Linked DNA regions of Stegostoma tigrinum. The protein of the gene in region 2 purifies or fractionates together with the protein of the main gene of each other region. This does not show direct contact. Links are inferred from orthologs where the notes say so. Each region holds a gene or a part of one and is shown on either strand. Other genes may lie near its edges.

Region 1 (7,670 bases), on a different chromosome or scaffold from region 2:
CAAAGTTTGAAAACATGTACCAACAGATTCAAGCACAGCTTCAATACTTTTCACTGTATCTTGATACATGACAATAATAAGTCAAGTTAAATATTTAGACTTGGAGTGGTTGGTGCATCGAGATGCTGAGAAGATTTGTTTTAAGATGTATCTGAATTGATTAAAAGACATGACTGTAGAGAATTGTAAACAATGTGACGGCTAGCAAGAAGGGCAAAACCTAGTGCAACAGTTCGAAGTAAACCCGACTTGCAAAAACTCAATAATACATTGAGCTATGTATACCCGCAAACTTGCACACTTTACAACTCATTAACCTGTTGCAGTCAGGCCTGATTGGAATGGCAGATCAGCGGTAAATGTTACCGTAACAATTAAAAATTGCCATTTAGGGTAACCATTTGAGACCATTCAGTTGTAATTAAACACCAGCTACAAGGTTGTTTGTCTGTGATGAGGTACTTAATGTTATCGAAGACATGGTCACTCATTTTACATTACTAGCATCTGCAGTATTTGCTTCTGATTGCGTTGTAATTTAGTGGCCGTATATTATTTCAGGAACGTCACAGGTGCTACGTAAATGCAGAGTTATTAACTGATCTTTAAATAATGAGATTGAACTTTTAGTCTTTGATGTGATGGATTTTTAATTTTCCCACAATTCTATCCAGAAGTGAGATATCATGGCACAAGAAATATTACTGTTCATGATAATGGAATAGTGTAGGTTAGATGGGCTTCAGATTGGTTTCACAGATCGGCGCCACATCGACGGCCGAAGGGCCTGTACTTCACCGGGCTCCTCCGGGGACTATTAACCCCTCCCCCCGCGAGGCGGGAGAAGGGTTACAAAGTGCATAAACTTTACAAACAGGTTTTGTCCCGACTTCCCACGTTACTCTTTTGCTCAAAGAAACATCCCGGTCAACATGCCGTTGCTTCAATAACTGACTCTAGCCGTCTGCAAGGGAACAAACGTTGGACCCACTGCAGTGACTCTTGCCAGACATGTGGACTTTTGCACAGTCGGACCACGACAGAGTACTATTGTTCCCAAAGTAATAGGACACTCTGAAATGGATACTGCTCGCTGCCTAGCCTCGCCGCGGGGAGGCGGGGGGGGGGTGAAACTTTGTGCAAATTTCAGCTTCCCTCAAATCGGATCAAACGGAAAACTATTTCCACAAATGTGTGTTCGGATCGCACTGCTTTTATTTATTCTTTCAAAACCATAACATCACACGTCTTTCTCAAAAAAAATCAACTGTTAAACCATCTCTCTGCGTAAAGATGAATTTACTTTGTTTTTACAATACACAAACGAAACGAAACTTTAAAACATGAACGGTATTTTGTGGGATTGAAATCTTGGAATGAGCTAGTGGAATACGAAATCAACGAAACTCAAACATTGTAAAAGTTGAAAGTCCGGGTAAGTGCATGGAACGGGTGTCGCCAAATACAAAGCTGGTCAAATACAAAGTGCATCCAGTAACCCACTCATTCCAGCGATGGTGGCAACTAAATATTTAAATTTAACATCACCTCCACATTCAAATGAATTAACTGCTCAAGGACAACTGTCTCAGTGAATGGATTTTATTTTAAGTTTTAAGGACGGCCCCCGTTCACCATGAAACACTCGGGATTGCAGAAGGCGGGCGTGAACTTTGCCCACCGCATTGCAAGCAGGCTTCTGCACTCTCTCAGGTCTCCCTTCAAACTTTCAAAGTTCAGGCGCCTGTCACCACGGGAAATGAGCAGCTTTATAACCAAGCCACAACAAAACCAGCTCCTTTTCACCACATTCCGATACCAGGATCGACGATGCTGCAGTTCAAAGATTTCGGTTCCTGTCACATTCAGCAGTTCGGATTTGAATCAAATCCTGTCACTACTACACACATGCCTGGGCGAGAGTTACAACATAGTAATTTCTTTTAGGCATTTGGGACGTAAAGTTACACTGGAAATAGTTTCACCCAGCAACATGGCACTCAAAGTGAGAATGATGTTGGCTGAACTTACACTCCTAAACTTCAAACACAATCCTGAGGACCAAGGGCTGATTATCCCACCGTTGCAATTTGATCCGCTGGCCTTTTTCCCAAATTAAATTGGAAACAAACACATTGCACCCCCCCCCCCCCAATCCCTGGGACAGGGTTTGTTTTTTTAAAAAGGGGAGCGGGGGGAGGTGAGAACATAAACTGGGAATCACTTACTTTAAGTAGTATCGCTGGCCCGAGGGGGTTTTCGCCATTTCCCAGCCCGGAGGTAGAGGTACATCGTCGGGAATCTCATAGGAAGCCTGGCGGAGGTGAGCGGAGGCCGGGGAGGAGCCGCTTCCCTGGGACACTGCAGCAGCGGCGGGCGAGGCCGAGCCCGAAGAGCCGGAGGACCCCGAGGCGGGGGGAGCGGCGGCGGTAGCGGCGGCGCTGAGGAGGGAGGCCGGCGACGAGTGAGCCCTCACATGCTGGGGTTGCAGCGGCGGAGCATTCGGCCCGTCTGTGCTAGCCTGGCGGGAGTGGCTCTTGGGCTCGGGCTGTTTGAAGAACGAGTCGGGAAGTTTGCGGAGCCGCATCGGGACAGACTGCGGCACGTTCGAGTTCTTGGGGTTCATCACGGCGTTGAAGAGAGCCTCCAGGTCGGTCTCCGAGTCCCCCCGGACATGCACGATCTGGTGGCCGGCCCGAGGCACCGCCGCCCCCGGCCCCGTCCCGGTTCCCTGCTGCTGCTGCTGACTCGGATCCATGGGCCAAACCGGCCTGTCCCTGTACTGCCGCGTCCCGGTGCCACCCGCCTGGTGCCCTCCCTCAGTCAGCCAGCCAGCCCCCTCACTCCCTACCGGAGGTTTCTCTCAGGCCGGTGATAACGGCAGGTTTTTCCAGCCCCACATCGACGCGCTCCACGAGTGGAACCTTCTGGAACTCTCCGCCCGCCCGGTGAACCCGAGCCCGCTCGCGCTCTCTCCCTCAGAGCCGTGTGTGGCGCGCGCACTCCCTTTTTTTTACCTCCACCCCCCCCCCACCCGCGGGGAAAGTTTGCAGCGACTTTCACAACTTTTCCTGCTGCGCACGTGACCGCTCACGTCACGTGGGGCGGAGTCCATTCCCGGGCCCCTGGCGGGGGGTGGGGGAGAATTGTGAGTGTAATGTTTAACTTAGATTGGGTTTCACCTCAAACCCAGCCGCGGTGGTACAGTTTGTACGGTACCGACCTCAGTGATTTCACCTCTCCGCCCCCAATCCCTGCCTTCTTCTGTCTCTCCCTCTTCTCCCTCTCTCTTCCCTCCCCCCACTTTCCCCATCTCTCTCTCCCCAGCCTCCCTGTCTCCCTCCCCGCTGTCATCTGTGATCTTCACTGCTTCCAGCCGCCTCACAGGGCGATCCCATCACGTTTGCCACATGAAGGGGCGAACTTACACTCTACTCCATTTGGGAAGTTGCTGTCTGTACTGGCGGTTTCCGTGCTATCATAAGGGACGGTGTATTTAAAACGGGACTGAAAAGGCAGAGTGAAGACTGCACTGGGACGGCATTGTGGCTCAGTGGCTAGCACTGCTGTTTCACAGCGCCTGGGACCGGGATTTGATTCTGGACTTGTTGGGCCAAATGGCCTCTTTGCAATGTAGGGATTCTGATGATCCTGCTCTGTGCCTTGTTACCCATTACAAACCAGAAAGCACCTGAATTCCAGGCCCTCAATAGGAAAGGAACCCCGCAGCAATGAATTCAGGGTACAGTCAGTAAAAGATACATTGCAATATTTGAAATCAGGCTGCAAAAAGAAAAAAAACCTTATATTTTCTCCCTAAAATCTTCTCTCATTGCAATAAGAAAGGTAATTAAAACCGCTCAATGCCCAATCGCTGAGGAATAATTTAGAAATATTGATTAGAATAAGTGTGAAAATTGGTCCGAACAAAAGAACAGAAATGTATTATTTTTATAATAAACGAGTAAGTATTTGTTCTGGTCAAACATCATCGACTTGAAACATTAACTTTGGTTCTGTCCCTAGATACTGCCGGATTTGCTGAGTATTTCCTGTATTTTCTGTCCGTCTTTCAAATGTTTCAGATCTTGTGAAGAATTTGTGGTTCGTTGTTCATGATGCTTTGGTCAGGTCACGGTTTTACCTGTCTCCCTATCTTTTAACTCACCGGCTCGACACGAGGTAGTTAAATATCGTTGCACGAGTCAGGACAACAATTTCACAGAAAATGATAGAATCGCTCAGAAAAAACATGAGTTGCAGGTAACATGCGAGAAAGCGTCCCATGATGTAAGTGCATAAACTCATAAACGTACAGATTTTTCCAAAGTTTTAACAGTGTAAACGTAAACTGTGGTTTTGTTATTATTCTGAACACCGTACCGCACAATATTTGAGTTTGAGGAAGGGAAAGTTTTCATCACATTGTTTAACGGCTGAAGTTCTCCACCCTTTCCCTGAATTGTATCGCATCTCAAGCCATAAAACAAAGTAATTTTATTAAGGAAGAGTCTGCAAACGTACTCTTTCCGAGCTTTCTTAAATCCTTGTAGACAGTAATCATTTTGGTAGCTAATGGCGGTTCCCCTGAAGATATGTTTAACCGGCCCGACTTCCCAGACCACACACATGGCAGATGTGTTTTCTGTAATCTTTTAGTTGGAGCTGGTGAATACAAGGCAATATATCAGGGAAAATCTATCACCGTGGGGACTGCTCTCAATTGTTACCGTTTCATTTCACGTTTGTATATTACAGATATGACGAAGTGTTTCAAAAAGTGGATTTGATTTATTTTGGATGCGTGATGACAACATTTGGTACATTTTAAAGTTTTCGCTTGATGGGACAAGGCCATATTGGTAGTGGTGAGATCGACCAAAAGTGGGAAAAAAAATCACTCCCTGTACCCCTCCCCTCCAGACAACAACGGATACGGAATGTACCCATTTCTAAATGGAATTATTTACCACCTTTCTTTAAAATAGAGCAAAATTAGTATGTGTTATAGCCCCATAACTTATCCTGGTCAAAAATGGTATAACGGGAACACGGTTTCTGTCGGAAGAGGCAAGCATTAATATTGTTGCACCAGATCGTTGGATGTTGCCGAATCATGTTTTAAAAATATTTTAATAAATGCTTTCCACCAATATTATTTCATGAAGCTGTGTTTTCCAAAAGTCTCTTGTGATTTTATGATCATGTCCAAATAATAACCCCCTTAAATCATAGCCTGTTCCTTATGGTTACAATGAATCAGTTACTAAGGCAAAGTTATAACTCAAATTCAAAAGGATGCCGTTTTGGACCTGCAATTAAAGTGTAGGTCACATGATATCATGCATTACAGATGTGAAACAAATGATTATGGTAGAAAAACTCTCAAAAGGAACAACTACTCAAAGAAATCACAGCTATCAGGAAAAACTAAAGCAATGATTGGAATTATTCTCTACTCCCAACTTCAACTTCATAACAGATTTTTTTCACGTTTGTTTGTATTATTTATCCTTTCATGCTTTGACTGAGAAGACAAATTCCTTCAGCCAGAGAGTGGTGAGCCTATGGAATTCTCTGTCACAGCAAGTAACTGAGGTCAAAACATTGAATGTTTTCAAGAACGAATGAGATAAACTTCTTAGAGCTCAAGGGATCATGGGGTATGGAGAGAAAGTGGGAACATATACTGGGTTGGATTATCAGCCGAGACCATATTGAATGGCGAAGCAGATTCAAAGGCTGAATGGCCTACTCCTGCTCCTGTTTTCTATGGTACTATATTTAATCATCATGATCGTCCAGCATTGCTAAATTTTAACTCTCACAAATAAAGGAAAGCTTGTAAAATGATTGCAAATGCTGAATCTGCAATAAAGGACACAAAGGCTTGGAAATTTTAAGTTTCTGTATGTTACTGTTGTGTCGAATGGATGCTGAAGCCCCAAGTACATTAGGCAGGAAGCATGCTGCAGTATATTGGAGCCATGTCCTGCAGAACACATGCCTGAACTATTTAAATCATAGAATCAAAATACGGCAAAGACAATAAGGACAACCATTTGGCTCATTGATAGGAAATAGCAAGAACTGCAGCTGCTGGAGTCAGAGTTAATACAGTGTGGAGCTGGAGGAACACAGCAGGTCAGGCAGCATCAGAGGAGCAGGAAAGTTGACATTTTGGGTCGTGTCTCCATTTGACTCATTGCTCCTGGGCTGGTTCTTTTGAACAGCATGCCCTACTCATTACTGTTCACAATATTGTAAAGTTTTTTTTTCACAAGCCCCTGCACCTCTTGTCACAATCCCTAAATCTGTATCCTCCCTACAATATCAGGTAGAGCAGTTTTCCTTTGTCTATCTTTTCTAATCCTGTCATACACTTGTGTACCTCTTATCAAATTTCACCTCAATCCCTTTTGCACTGAGGGCCATAACCCCAGTTTCTCCACCTTAACTAATTCCTGGAACCATTCTGGTGATACTTCTATTTATGAAGTACAAGATTCTACATATTTTTCCAACTAATTTCCTCAAAATGCCTGCCTCCTTCAAACATTTATCTATATGAACCTTCATGCTTTTCACATTCTTATACAGTGTTTGGAATTGTAATGTTTATATTGCTTCTCTAAAAAGGCTTCTTCTCATTTCTCCCTATTAAATTCCATTTGCCAGCTGCCATGTATTTGTCTGTTCTCCTGACCTATCTGTGTCCTGTTGCAGTTTATTTGTATCTTCTTCATTGTCTTCCACATCTGCAAGTTTTGTATCATTGGCAAATATTGAAATTTTATCTTGTTACTGAGTCTTCTGCCACAGTTTTTGCTTATTTATTTTATTAAAGCATTAGTAATTTTGAACACATCAATGAAATCTCCACTTAACCTTCTTTGCTATAAAGAGAACGTCCCCAGGTTTTTCAGTCTTTCCATTTAACTTCAGGGGCGCATCCATAGAACTCAATTGAATCAGTTCTGAAGAGTCAAATTTGACTTGAATCATTAACTTTGTTTTTATCTCACCATGGATGATGCCAGATCTGCTGAGATTTTGCAGCACTTGTTGTTATTATAATAGGTCGCTTTTTTTCTATATTCTCTTGCAGGACATGGGCATCATTGGAAAGGCTGGCCTTCATCTACAATCTCTAACAATTGAATCGTTTGTTACACAATTTCAAAGAGCAGTTAAGAATTAACCATATCTCTATGTGCTTAGACCAAATCCAGAAAGGAAATTAGCTCTCCCCGGGAAGGAACTTATGACCAGAAGCCTTAAGGCTGAGGGATACAAAGGAGAGCTACAACCAAGAAATCTGGAGTGTGAAGGAAACTGCACAGATTCCAAAATAAAACAAAAGCTAGCCAAGCCCGAAAGAGGAACTCATCATGCTCTTGCGTGGTTTGGAGGTGGGTAAAGAAACTAATCTCTCTCGAGAAGTCTATTTTTCGTGTTTGACTGAAAAGTAGCTAGGACCTCTTAAGACAACATGGAAGCTTGCTAAAATTACAAAATCTGGAAAGCTATGTGAATATCTTGATGATACTAAAACTCAGTATTTTCCCAGAAATGGTTCAACCATGAGCCAAGGTGTTGTTGGTTAGTTGAAAAATAATTCAGGAAAGTGATCACATCAGGACTGTCGTGAGCTGACAGAGTAGATTTGT
Region 2 (7,656 bases):
CCCCAGCTATGCCTGCCTCTTTGTAGGTTACGTGGAACAGTCCCTCTTCCGCACCTACACAGGCCCCAAACCCCACCTCTTCCTCCGGTACATTGATGACTGTATCGGCGCCGCCTCTTGCTCCCCAGAGGAGCTCGAACAGTTCATCCACTTCACCAACACCTTCCACCCCAACCTTCAGTTCACCTGGGCAATCTCCAGCACATCCCTCACCTTCCTGGACCTCTCAGTCTCCATCTCAGGCAACCAGCTTGTAACTGATGTCCATTTCAAGCCCACCGACTCCCACAGCTACCTAGAATACACCTCCTCCCACCCACTCTCCTGCAAAAATTCCATCCCCTATTCCCAATTCCTCCGCCTCCGCCGCATCTGCTCCCACGATAAGACATTCCACTCCCGCACATCCCAGATGTCCAAGTTCTTTAAGGACCGCAACTTTCCCCCCACAGTGATCGAGAACGCCCTTGACCGCGTCTGCCGTATTTCCCGCAACACATCCCTCACACCCCGCCCCCGCCACAACCGCCCCAAGAGGATCCCCCTCGTTCTCACACACCACCCTACCAACCTCCGGATACAACGCATTATCCTCCGACACTTCCGCCATTTACAATCCGACCCCACCACCCAAGACATTTTTCCATCCCCTCCCCTGTCAGCTTTCCGGAGAGACCACTCTCTCCGTGACTCCCTCGTTCGCTCCACACTGCCCTCCAACCCCACCACACCCGGCACCTTCCCCTGCAACCGCAGGAAATGCTACACCTGTCCCCACACCTCCTCCCTCACCCCCATCCCAGGCCCCAAGATGACATTCCACATCAAGCAGAGGTTCACCTGCACATCTGCCAATGTGGTATACTGCATCCACTGTACCCGGTGCGGCTTCCTCTACATTGGGGAAACCAAGCGGAGGCTTGGGGACCGCTTTGCAGAATACCTCCGCTCAGTTCGCAACAAACAACTGCACCTCCCAGTCGCAAACCATTTCCACTCCCCCTCCCATTCTTTAGATGACATGTCCATCATGGGCCTCCTGCAGTGCCACAATGATGCCACCCGAAGGTTGCAGGAACAGCAACTCACCTGGGAACCCTGCAGCCATATGGTATCAATGTGGACTTCACCAGTTTCAAAATCTCCCCTTCCCCTACTGCATCCCTAAACCAGCCCAGTTCGTCCCCTCCCCCCACTGCACCACACAACCAGCCCAGCTCTTCCCCCCCACCCACTGCATCCCAAAACCAGTCCAACCTGTCTCTGCCTCCCTAACCTGTTCTTCCTCTCACCCATCCCTTCCTCCTACCCCAAGCCGCACCCCCAGCTACCTACTAACCTCATCCCACCTCCTTGACCTGTCCGTCTTCCCTGGACTGACCTATCCCCTCCCTACCTCCCCACCTACACCCTCTCCACCAATCTTCTTTACTCTCCATCTTCGGTCCGCCTCCCCCTCTCTCCCTATTTATTCCAGTTCCCTCTCCCCATCCCCCTCTCTGATGAAGGGTCTAGGCCCGAAACGTCAGCTTTTGTGCTCCTGAGATGCTGCTTGGCCTGCTGTGTTCATCCAGCCTCACATTTTATTATCTTGGAATTCTCCAGCATCTGCAGTTCCCATTATCTCTGCTCTATTGGTAGCTTAGCCAAATGCTTTGCCTCCATGTATATACTTATTTTTGGTCACTATGCAGTCCCACTCTGTGGAGAGAAAGCAGTTAACGTTTCAGATCCAGTCACTCATGTCCAGAACTGATTGTACCTAGGGAAAGATTGGTATATATGCTGAAGATGGGGTGTGGGAAGAAGGGAGGAGTAAACAATAGGTGGAGATGGAGCCCAGAGAGACGCAAAAACAGTTGGGCAGATAACGGAGGTAAAGGTCAGTGTGGGAGAATGAATAGCTAATAAGGGGGGCCATTAATGGCTGACCGTGGTTTGGTTTGTATCATGAAAAGGCCTGGTGTATGGGAGTTGGGGTAAGAACATGGGAGAGATGCTCAAGCCCCAAAATTGTTCAACTCAGTACTTTTACCATGCATTTATTATTTATTTGCAGATAGATCTCCATTTGATATGGGTCATGTGAATGTGTTTTTTTTGGCTTCAGTTTACTCACAATTCCTTTTGTCATGCCCAGGCTCACGATTGTTTGCCGTAATTTCCTCTTTCTGAAAGTCTAAGTAACCTATTATCCTGGAACAATTTTACTGGGTCAGCCAGTCTGTGATTTTGGTCTTGCTGAGTCAGTTGATTCTCACCTCGTTGAAATTGGCTATCCTGGAATTATGTCTATTCTGAATGTTCCCTGTTCTTTTCTACCATCACCTTACGATTTTATGAAAAGTTGGGGCAGGTAGGTTCAATCAGGCATTCAAGAAGGTGTTTGTTTACTATTTAAATGGGGTAATGGGGAAAGGGCAGGAGAATGGCACAAAGTCATGAAGCTTGTTTGCTGAGTGTTGGAGACACAATGTTTTATTACCTCCTTTCTGCGCCATAACAATCTGTTACCTTCAAATTTCCTGATCCTTTCGGTTCTCATCCTCCTGATCCAGACCCAGCTCTGCCTCCCTCCTCATCAAGGCGAACTGATCCGGAAACTTCCATCACTTTTAGAAATTATCGCCAGTCTCTGCCCCTCACACTATTACTGCCCCGGTCGATATTCTGGACAATCGTGTTGTCTCCTTTTGTCATTTTCCTGCGAATTTGTCCCGCAGTTTTAAGACAGCTCGACTGTCTCTGGTAATTTTAGGCGCAATCTAAATGCAGTTCGCTCCGAATGGAATGAAGAGCTGCGAGTGTGGGGGAAATCTGAGACAAAAACACGAATTGCTGGAGAGGCTCAGCGGGTCTGGCAGCATCTCTGCAGAGAGAGAGGTTAACGATTCGAGCCCAGTGACCCCCTTCCTCAGAACCGTTATTGGGCCGCCGTTGTTGTCAGGGGCGGGAAGCCGGTTGCCATGGTTTCCCGGGGGGGGCGGGAAGCCGGTTGCCATGGTTTCCCGGGGGGCGGGGCCGAGGGAGCTATGCCTTCCCTCGGATGGATGTCCCGTCCGGGCCTGAGGGATGAATGGGGCCGGCTCCAGGTCCGGGTCCCCCGCCTCCCGCGGGCGGACGCTGCTGGCCGAGAAGGCCGTGTCTGAAAGCTACGCCCGGCTCCGGTACCGAGACACTTCGCTCCTGATCTGGAGGCAGCAGCAGTTACAGCTGGAGCGGCGGACACTGGGCTCAGGCCCGGGCCCCGGACCCGACAGCTTCCTGGGCCGCAGCCACAGCATGTGGTACCGGCAGTTCGGCAATCAGCCTATCCTGGTCCGGGACAGGAACAAACTAAGCCCGGGGTCCTGCCCCGGCACAGGCCCGGTTCCAAATCCAGGCCGTTCCCGTATTTGCTCATTAATGTGAACTGGATCCGGATTCAGGACAAAACCGGGACAGAGTAGCAAACCCAGTAACAACTGGAGAAGCCATTCCAGTCAGTACCGGAACAACTACTGAAGATCACAGTGGGTCAGGCAGCATCCATGGAGTGAGAGCAACCTAACTTTTCGAGTCCAAATTTCAAGGCTGGAGTAACACCAACTATCATTAGCGGCTGCAGTATTTATGACCGACAGTAGCTCTGCAACCAGATTAACACCAAGACGACACATCTGGACCAATATGGGAAATGACAGTGTACATCCGTAGTATTTACAGATTTTCCTGGATTAATACCTCGCATAAATCTGTTTGGAGACGGGATCTATGCAGATTATCACTCTCTGTATTCATCCTCCCTGCAATAGTGTTGTTATTTATAAACTGATTTTATTTATGGATCAATGCCTGAGCTGGAATAGCTGGGTGTTTCAGACTGTGCATAAGAACAAATCCGTAGTAGAAACCCATCTGGGAGAATCAGAACTGGATTATGAGATTGACCCATTTTCCAGATGTGGGCTGGCCACTCAGGTGATGAGATTACATTGCGCTGTAGAGAATAAACTGTGTAAAAAAAGTGATAGAAGTTTTGTGTTAGAGTGGAATTACAGTATTCAAAGCCATTCTAATTGTGTTAACATTACTCCCTACTGAGCAAGGCTTGTTTTTAATTGACAATTTTATTCATACAGCACTTTTCACTGACATACCCCTCACAAATATTTTGTGCTGTGAATGATTTCCAGCTTCTTGAGCATGTGATTTTTTTAAAAAAATAATTCCACCAAATAGCTTCGGCTGCTTGTGCTCTGGGTTGAAACCTTTGTCTCTGCAGCTCTCTGTCCCTCCTTTAAGCAACTTATAACCTACCTAATAACTTAACATGCTCTATCAAATTTGATTTATTATCGTCAAATATACCTAGGTGCAGTGAAAAGTGATAACACAGTATGGAGCTGGAAAAATACAGAACATTTTCTGGAGAAAGGTCCCAACCTGAAACGTCAGTTTTCCTGCTCCTCTGATGCTGCCTGGCCTGTGTTCCCCCAGCTCCACATGGTGTTATCTTTGGCTCCAGCATCGGCAGTTCTTACTATCTCTTCAGTGAAAAGCTCTGTTTTTGTGTATCTGTTACAGGAAAGATGTTGCAAAACTTGAAAGGGTGTTACGTGTATGGAATGAGCTGCCAGAGGACATGGTAGAGGCTGGTACAATTACAAAATTCAAAAGGCATCTAAATGGGTATATGGATAAGAAGGATTTAGAGGAAAATGGGCCAAGGTTATTTTCGGATATCTGGTCGGCCTGAAGTTGATTGCATACTGTACACCTGAGTACAAGCAGTAAGTACATATGAAGTTCATAAGTTGATAGAACAAAATGAGCAATACAATGTTAAAACTGCAGAGGAGCACAAAAAGTGAGATCAACATTAAATTTGTGACATCCCTTCAAAAGTCTAATAACAGCAGGGAAGAAGCTGCTGTTGAACCTGATGTTACACATGTTTAAGCTTTTGTACATTCTGCCTGACAGAAAAGGTTAGAAGAAATTATAGCCAGGCTGGAGGGATCTTTGACGTTGGCTACCTTTCCAAAGCAACAAGAAGTGTAAATGGAGTATATGATGTTCCTATGAAGCACATGATTTTTTTTTGCTATGACTAGGTGCTGTACAAATGTATATTGGAGTTTCTGTTGGAATGCAGTTCTTTTTGTGACAACCTTTTTCTCCCAGCACTACCGTAAACCCAGGATTGTGCATGTTGGATAATATTTAGCTGATTCTGGGAGCTTAATGTCAGCAGGTGACATCCAATAGGCTTAAGGGTGACAATACAGCATTGTTTATTTACAGCATAGATACAAGTTGTCTCATCTCCACCAATGTTTCTGCTTCCCCTATGCTTCGTCCCACTCCTGTTCATTTAGATTAACCTTTTATTTATTTCTCCCTTATGTGTTTATCTACCTTGGCCTTGTATACATCTTATTCATTACAATGACTCCCTGCAATAGTGAATCACATTCTCTCTGGGTGGAGAGGTTTCTCCTGAATTCCCTTTTGGAATTATTAGTGATAGTCTTATATCAATGATCTCTGTTTCTGGTCAACCTGAAGTAGAAAAATCTTGAAGTCTAAGATGCTGAAGATACAAAACAAAAACAAAAATTGCTGGAGAAATTTGGCAGGTTTGGAGTATTTGTGGATGGAAAGCAGAGTTAATGTTTTGAGTCCTGTGCTGTGAAGAAGATTCTGAAGAAAGGTCATTTGACTCAAAATATTTAACCTTGAAGTCTACTCTCTTGACTCCCTTGGTAAAACAATCACAGAATTATTGATTTTACGATCCTTACCAATGGTACTGTGACTACAGGACAGATAGCTGAATTTGAGGAGGCAGTTTTCATGTCACTAGACTAATGCTCTGAGGACCTGTGTTCAATCCCAGCATGGCAGATGGTTATAAACAGAATTCAGTAAAAATCCGGAATAAAAAAACAGTCTAAAGGTGACTGTCAATTGTTTCAGAAATCCATCTGGTTCAGTAATGCCTTTAAGGATGGAAATCTAGTGTCCTTACTACTCTGTCCGACATGGCCAGACTCTCAGCAATCTCTTAATTACCCTCTGGGCAATAAATGGTGGCTTACTCAATGATGTCAGAATTCCATGAATTAATTAAAAAAGAAAAAGGGTCAGGCTGGGTACAAGAACTGTAGACTGTGAGACTACTTGACGCTGGGTACAAGAACTGTAGACTGTGAGACTACTTGACGCTGGGTACAAGAACTGTAGACTGTGAGACTACTTGGCCCATTATGCTTGTGGCAGCCTTGTTCGTTATACCTTGTTCTGCTCATCAAGCCTTTTTACATGTTTATCTTTCATATGGAAAGTTATCGTGCTTTCTACTGCAACATTTTTTTCTGATGTGGTATCCCATGAGATAACAGTTCCTGTGTAAAAAGACATTCTGATCTCTTGATTGTGATATTTTGCGCTATCTGGCTCCCTGGAGCTTTTCTTTACCAGTTTCTCTTTCAAAAAGCTTCAATAATTCTGAGCCACTCCAACCCACACACAGGCAGATAACTTCAACTTCTTGGGTCAAACAGTAAGAGTGCCAGCAAATAAAACTCCTGATTGTATAAATCCCAATAACTCTCTGTAGAGTCTTGCTATCCTTCTTACTATGACCTCTTCTAAAATCTGTACACATTGGACACTTTCTCTTTTCATTTGTAATTAGGAATGATTAGATTAGATTCAGTTCCCTACAGTGTGGAAACAGGCCCTTCAGCTCAACAAGTCCACACCGCCCTTTGAAGCATTCCACCCAGACCCATTCCCCTATAACCCACACACCCCTGAACACTACCGACAATTTAGCACGGCTGATCCACCTAGCTTGCACATCTTTGGACTGTGGGAGGAAACCGGAGCACCCAGACGAAACCCACGCAAACACAGGGAGAATGTGGAAACTCCACACAGACGGTCGCCCGAGGCTGGAACTGAACCCGAGTCCTGGCGCTGTGAGGCTGCAGTGCTAACCACTGAGCCACCGTGTCTTGATGAATAGGCATCCAAATGTATGAGGCCTGGAAATGAAATGGCTACTCCAGAACACTATCTATTCTGACTAGTAAACACCAAATGACACATTTATCTGCACTTGGCCCACAACCTACTGTGCCCTGGTATTTTAAGATCTCATTTAGATGCCCCTTAAATGTTGCAAGTACCTGCCTCCACCATCCAATTAGGTAGCACATCCATATTTTCCACACCCCTTACATGAAAAACATTTTTCTCATATCTTCTAAACCACTTTTACGCCCTCTGGTCTTAGACGCATCTGCCAAGGGGAAAAAGATTCTCATGATCTATCCAGTTTATGCCTCTCAAGTTTTTCGTTCCTCAATCGGACCTCCCCTCAGCCTTCTCAGCTCCGTGGAAAACAAACCTAGCCTATCCAGTCTCTCATAACTGAGATTTTTCATCACAGGCAACATCCTGGTGAAATGCCTCTAAACCTTCTCCGGCACAATCACATTCTTCCAATAATGTGGTGAACAGAACTGCACACACAACTGTAGCCTAACCCTTGTTTTTGTAAATATTCACAATTACATCAAGCTTGAGGCATCACAGGGATGATACTCTTCTGTACACAGCACCTAAGCCCTGTCCTGACTTGCTATTCCACCTTCACTTCCTTTT
Region 3 (6,940 bases), on a different chromosome or scaffold from region 2:
GTTATATGAACTTGGTTTGCCTTTCCCTGGATGAATAAGATTGAAGAATGATCAGATAGAGATGTTTAACATTTTAATAAGATTCAATAAGGTAGATCGGTGATATAATTCCTTATGGAAAATCAAGAACAAGAAGATATAATTTAAAATCTCAGCTGGGCCATTTTGGACTGAAATCAGGAAGCCTTTTTGAAATACCAAGGTGTAGAGCTGGATGAACACAGCAGGCCAAGCAGCATCAGAGGAGCAGGAAGGCTGATGTTTCGTGTCTAGATCCTTCTTCAGAAATGCTTTTTTGCAGCTGAGGCGAAGGGATTGGGAATGGGGGATGCCATTTTTGCAGGAAGCTGGGTGGGAGGAGGTGTATTATAGGTAGCTATGGGAGATGTTGGGCTTGACGTGGATATCGGTTTCCAGGTCGTTGCCAGAGATGGAAACAGAGAGGCCCAGGAAAGAGAGAGAAGTATCAGAGATGATCCAGGTGAACTTAAGGTTGGGATGGAAGGTGTTGGTGAATTGAATGAACTGTTCGAGCTCCTCGTGGGAAGCTCCCTCCATAGGACTGGGCATCCTGGACAGTCATATGAACCCCTCAAGCTTGATCTGCCGTTAGATAAGACCATGGCTGATTTGTTGTTTAACTCAATATGCCTGCCTTTGGCCCATGTCCCTTAATAACTTTGTTCAACAAAAATTGATCAATCCAAGACTTAAAATTAATAATTGATCAAGTATCAAATATCATTTGTGGAAGAGAATTCCAAACCTCTACCACCCTTTGAGTATAGAAGTGCTTCCTAACATCACTCATGAATTGTCTGACCCTAATTCTCAGAATATATCCCTAGTTCTAGAATCCCCAATCAGTGGAAATAGTTTTTCTTTATGTGTTGATTTGATTTATCATTGTCACATGTATTGACATACAGTATGCTAACCAGACAAATCATAAATTGTGTATGTACATCAGGGTAGTAGAACATAATACAAAATATAGTATACAGCTACAGAGAAGAAGCAGAGAAAGCTCAACTCTGATATATGGGAGGTCCATTCATATGTCTGATAACATCAGGGAAGAAGCTGTTCTTAAATCTGTTGGTATGTGTTTTCAAACTTTCGTACAGTCTGCCAAATGGAAGAGGGTGGAAGATATTATAATAGAGATGAAAGAGGTCTTTGATCATGTTAGCTGCTTTCCCAAGCCAGCAAGAAGTCTAGACAGAGTTAATGGAAAGAGTGCTAGTTTCCATGATGGACTGGGTTGCATTCAGAACTCCTTGTAGTTTCTTGCGATCTTGGGCAAAGCAGCTGACATACCAAATTGTGACGCATCCAGATGGGCTGCTTTATTTGGTGCATCGATAAAAATTGGTAACAGCCATTATGGACATGCCAAATTTCCTTAGCTTTACCTCCCCTGTCTTTTCCTGTTACTATCTTGAAGGCTTCAATCAGATCACCCTTTGACATCCTAAATGTGTGTAATCATGCCTCATAACTTAAACCCTAAAATACAGGTATTATACAAATCCAATAAATGACAACAAATTCAAAATTAAAATAAAACAGGAAAATGTTGCAAATATATTCAGTACTCAAACCGAATATATTAACATCCTTTCTCAAAGATTGACTGCTGACCCAACCTGCAGCTCATCCTCAACATTGTGTTATTTACTTCTGGAACTTCACATCTGCATAATGAAATGAGGATTTTGTAGGGATTTACGACACAGAAACAGGCTATACAGCCCACTCGGACTAGCTCTACAAGATTTGCCCTTCTTCAGAACCACATTCCACAGCGAGTCTTATCATTGAATACTTTTATAATAGCAGGCACATTTCTGATCTGCTTCTGCAAAGCATAGCCACGCTTCAAAGTTTCACTTTGCACAGATTTCCCCTGAAGATCAGAAAAATACATTTGGCATCATGTCTATGTCTGTCCTTCAGCGAGCAATCAAACCCCACTGTATCCATGTAAAGGAGATAATGGGAACTGCAGATGCTGGAGATTCCAAGATAATAAAATGTGAGGCTGGATGAACACAGCAGGCCAAGCAGCATCTCAGGAGCACAAAAGCTGACGTTTCGGGCCTAGACCCTTCATCAGAGAGGGGGATGGGGGGAGGGAACTGGAATAAATAGGGAGAGAGGGGGAGGCGGACCGAAGATGGAGAGCAAAGAAGATAGGTGGAGAGGGTGTAGGTGGGGAGGTAGGGAGGGGATAGGTCAGTCCAGGGAAGACGGACAGGTCAAGGAGGTGGGATGAGGTTAGTAGGTAGCTGGGGGTGCGGCTGGGGGTGGGAGGAAGGGATGGGTGAGAGGAAGAACCGGTTAGGGAGGCAGAGACAGGTTGGACTGGTTTTGGGATGCAGTGGGTGGGGGGGAAGAGCTGGGCTGGTTGTGTGGTGCAGTGGGGGGAGGGGATGAACTGGGCTGGTTTAGGGATGCAGTGGGGGAAGGGGAGATTTTGAAACTGGTGAAGTCCACATTGATACCATATGGCTGCAGGGTTCCCAGGCGGAATATGAGTTGCTGTTCCTGCAACCTTCGGGTGGCATCATTGTGGCAGTGCAGGAGGCCCATGATGGACATGTCATCAAGAGAATGGGAGGGGGAGTGGAAATGGTTTGCGACTGGCAGGTCAGTTCGCAACAAACAACTGCACCTCCCAGTCGCAAACCATTTCCACTCCCCCTCCCATTCTCTTGATGACATGTCCATCATGGGCCTCCTGCACTGCCACAATGATGCCACCCGAAGGTTGCAGGAACAGCAACTCATATTCCGCCTGGGAACCCTGCAGCCATATGGTATCAATGTGGACTTCACCAGTTTCAAAATCTCCCCTTCCCCCACTGCATCCCTAAACCAGCCCAGTTCATCCCCTCCCCCCACTGCACCACACAACCAGCCCAGCTCTTCCCCCCCACCCACTGCATCCTAAAACCAGTCCAACCTGTCTCTGCCTCCCTAACCGGTTCTTCCTCTCACCCATCCCTTCCTCCCACCCCAAGCCGCACCCCCATCTACCTACTAACCTCATCCCACCTCCTTGACCTGTCCGTCTTCCCTGGACTGACCTATCCCCTCCCTACCTCCCCACCTACACCCTCTCCACCTATCTTCTTTGCTCTCCATCTTCGGTCCGCCTCCCCCTCTCTCCCTATTTATTCCAGTTCCCTCCCCCCATCCCCCTCTCTGATGAAGGGTCTAGGCCCGAAACGTCAGCTTTTGTGCTCCTGAGATGCTGCTTGGCCTGCTGTGTTCATCCAGCCTCACATTTTATTATCTTGTATCCATGTAAAAATGAGTTAATTTCCTTTAATTGCCTAATCATTAACTGAAACTTACACCACCCTTAACAGCTGCATTGATAATGTAATAGAGTCTAAGTGATATTTTAAATAGTTACTTTTACATCCCGGTTTGTTAAACTCAAAGGAATGTTTAATATTATCATCTAAAAGCATCATTAAAAATTGTGCTCAGGTGAAAAATCTTAAAATTAGAAATGTGAATTTCAAAATATCTGGGTAAAAAGTTCTTCCTCTAACATTGAAATAGTGATTGTTTTTTAAAAAAAACAGAATTCTTTTTCAGTACAAAACATTTTCACTAAAGTTTGAACATGAGGTGAACTATTGGTAACAAAATTCAGGCCGAAGACCTAGTGATTGACAGATATGCTATCCAATCGGAATTGGGAATGCCCAAAGGACAGCCAATAGTTCGAGATGACCCTCGTGTCGGCGGCTGCGGCGGTCCGCCCCTTAACGACGGGCAGGAGGTTACCGCCCACTGAGCTTGCTGATTCGGTGTTGCAATGATGGTTGGTTTATTGGCCAGTAGGATGAGGGGATATTCTGATTGACGTGCTTCGTATCCAATCGGTGAAGGGCTGGGCGTTGCTGTCCTCCATCGAGGTCGGTAGAGCGATGTTTCCTCTGGCCTCTTGGTAACACGCGCCGCGGGCTTCAGGTGAGGAAGAGGCCGAGGCCTGCGCTAAGGCCGCACATTCACAGTTCACCATGAAGATCGAAGAAGTCAAGAGCACGACCAAGACCCAGCGGATCGCCAGCCACAGCCATGTGAAGGGGCTCGGTTTAGACGAGAACGGCCAGGCCAAGGTGGCGGCCGCCGGGCTGGTTGGCCAGGAGAACGCCAGGGAGGTGGGTGAGGACCGGCTCGGGCCTGGGGATCACAGAAAGCAGGGCATCTCCATTCCACAAGACTAAGTCTTGATGGGCTGAAGGGCCTAATTGTGCTCCTGTCACTTATGGAATACAGTTCTATGTTCTAGAAATCATAGCACAATTAGGCCATTCCGCCCATCGAATCTGCTCCACCTTTCGATCATGGCTGATATGTTTCTCAATCATACTTTGCTGTCTCCTCCCTGTGACCCTTGATCCCCCTTACTAATCAAGAAACTATCCATCTCTGTCTTAAATATTCTTAATGACTTTGCCTCCGGAGGCTTCTGCAATAATGTGATCCACAGATTCACCACCCTTTGAAAAAATTCCCTCATATCCCAGTTCTAAAGGGTCACCCTTTCACCCTGAGGTTGTGCCCTTAGTCCTTAGTCTTTTCTACTAATAGAAATCTGTTCTCCAAATCCAGGCATCTCAGTATTCTGTAAATTTCAATCAGGTCAATCTCCTCATTCTTCTAAATTCCATCTAGTACAGACCCAGTGTCCTCAAGCACTTGTCACAGGACAAAATCTTCACCCTTAAGATTATTCTTGTGAACCAAATCAGAAATTGCTGGAAAAACTCAACAGGTTCAGCAGTATCAATGGAGAGAAAGCAGTGTAAATGATTCAGGTCCAGCAACCGTCCTTCAGAGCGCTAAGGATCTTAACTCTGCCTTCTCTCCACAGATGCTGCCAGATTTGCTGAGTGTTTTTTTTGGCAATTTCTAATTTCCAGCATCTGCAGTTTATTTGTTTATTATTCTTGTAAACCTCCACTAGACTTCTCCAATGCCAGCACGTACTTGTGTAGGTAGGGGGCCCCAGACTTAATTCTTTATTCATTTACAGGATGATGGCATCGCTGGCTTGGCCAGCACTTATTGACCAGAGGGCAGTTAAGAGTCAGCCACGTTGCTGTGGGTCTGGTGTCACATGTAGGCCAGACCAGGCAAGGATGGCAGTTTTCTTCCCTACAGGATATTAGTGAACCAGATGGGTTTTTCCAACATTCCACAATGGATTCACGGTCATCATTAGATTTTTAACTCCACATATTTATTGAATTCGAATTCAACCATCCGCTGTGGCAGGATTCAAACCTAGGTCCCCAGGATGATACCTGGGTCTCTGGATTAAGAGTCCAGCGATAATACCACTAGGCCCTTGCCTCCCCCGAACTGCTCACAGTATTCCAAATGTGGTCTGACCAGAGTCTTGTTCCGCCTCAGCATTACATAGAGTCCTGGAAATGTACGGCGTGGAAACAGACCCTTCTGTCTGACTCATCTATGCTGACCAGATATCCTAACGGTCACATTTCCCAGCGTTTGGCCCATACCCCTGTAAACCGTTACTGCTCATATATCTATCCAAGTGTTCTTTAAATGTTGTAAATTAACATTTCTGCCCTTGTATCCTAGCCCTGTTGAAATGTATATGAATATTGCATTTACTTTCCTATCTGCTAACTGAGCCTACATGTTAACTTTCAGAGAATCCTAAACTAGGACTTGCAAGTCCCGTTGTGCTTCAGGTTTCTGAAGCCTTTCCCCAGTTAGAAAATATTGCCTATGCCTCTACTTTTCTTGCTAAGTACATAACCTCACACTTCCCCACATTGTATTCCACCTGCCACTTCTTTGCCCACTCTGCCCCAAGTCCTCCTGCAGCCTCCCCACTTCCTTGACGTTAGTTGTTCTTCCACCTATTTTTGTGTCACCTGGAAACTTAGCAACAGTACATTCAGTTCCTTTATCCAGATTGTTGCTGTACAACGTGAATGGTTGTGGTCCCATAGCCTGCTGCAGAACTCACTAGTCACCATCCTGAAAAAGACCCCTTCATCCCCAAAATGCTGCTTGGCTGCTGTGTTCATCCAGTTCTGTGCTTTGTTACCCCAAATCCTTCAACCCCATGGTCTGTTTACTCCCTCTCAACCAATCCTCTATCCATGGTCCTTGTGCCATGGGTCTTATTTAGGAGCCTCCTGTTTGGCACCTTATCAAAGGCTTTTTGGAAATCCAAATAGATCATGTCCAGTGACTCTCCTTTCTCTAAATGTTCCCTGATTTTCACCCTTTCCTTTTCCCCACCCCCAGGATCCCCCCTCCTCCCCTTTCCCCCCTCTTCAATCACCCCTCCCCATGCCCGTCTCCTCAATTCCCACCCTCACTCCTTCCATCTGCCCTCTCTTCCCCTACCTCTATCGCTACCTCCCACTCCCCCCATCTGCTCACTCTTCCCCTATTCCTACTCTTAATCACCCCCCACTCTCTCCCCAACCTCCCACCCCAACTCTTCCCCCCCCCGACTTCCCACCCCTCCCCCACTAATATCATTGCTCCTTCCTTGGTTGAGTAAACCTGCGCACCACTCATTGCAGATGCAGTTTTAGACTTTTCTACTTTGTTTGATTCAGTCATTCTGTTCTTCTAATGGAAAGGCCACCTCTGTGTTAGCCTTTGGATGACTGTCTGTACCTCTTCAACATTTTAATCAACGATGTTTCCAGACATTTCATTTTCCATTTTAGCTTGCTGAGAACATCTTTAATTATCTAAAGGTATTTATTAATTGTTCAGCTTTATCTGTATTTAAAAAGCGACATTAATTGCGTAAAATTAATTGTAATTCGTGTATGAACTGTAAAGTTTGACAACTCTCAAGTTTAGCATGAGTTAATGTATCATGAATGTGAGTGGAGAATTGACTTTGATTATCATTCCTTTC

The links. Proteins that work in one complex are often made in the same cells at the same time.
Region 1: the proteins of wdr5 (region 2) and yap1 purify together in Homo sapiens (affinity purification with mass spectrometry; 3 studies listed by BioGRID, with this or other methods). This does not show direct contact. The link is inferred for Stegostoma tigrinum from reciprocal best matches to the Homo sapiens genes WDR5 and YAP1.
Region 3: the proteins of wdr5 (region 2) and ruvbl1 purify together in Homo sapiens (affinity purification with mass spectrometry; 3 studies listed by BioGRID and IntAct, with this or other methods). This does not show direct contact. The link is inferred for Stegostoma tigrinum from reciprocal best matches to the Homo sapiens genes WDR5 and RUVBL1.

What each region holds. Positions count from the first base shown.
Region 1 is NC_081359.1:1,795,090-1,802,759, reverse strand, and holds the start of yap1 (transcriptional coactivator YAP1), read right to left. Parts: upstream 3,024-7,670; 5' UTR 2,759-3,023; coding exon 2,229-2,758; intron 1-2,228. UniProt on the Homo sapiens protein: Transcriptional regulator with dual roles as a coactivator and corepressor. Critical downstream regulatory target in the Hippo signaling pathway, crucial for organ size control and tumor suppression by restricting proliferation and promoting apoptosis.
Region 2 is NC_081382.1:45,448,710-45,456,365, reverse strand, and holds the start of wdr5 (WD repeat-containing protein 5), read left to right. Parts: upstream 1-4,655; 5' UTR 4,656-4,772; exon of another isoform or gene 4,773-6,087; intron 6,088-7,656. Other genes in the region: putative uncharacterized protein BRD3OS, read left to right, coding at 3,073-3,411.
Region 3 is NC_081364.1:5,187,455-5,194,394, forward strand, and holds the start of ruvbl1 (ruvB-like 1), read left to right. Parts: upstream 1-3,917; 5' UTR 3,918-4,040; coding exon 4,041-4,181; intron 4,182-6,940. UniProt on the Homo sapiens protein: Possesses single-stranded DNA-stimulated ATPase and ATP-dependent DNA helicase (3' to 5') activity; hexamerization is thought to be critical for ATP hydrolysis and adjacent subunits in the ring-like structure contribute to the ATPase activity.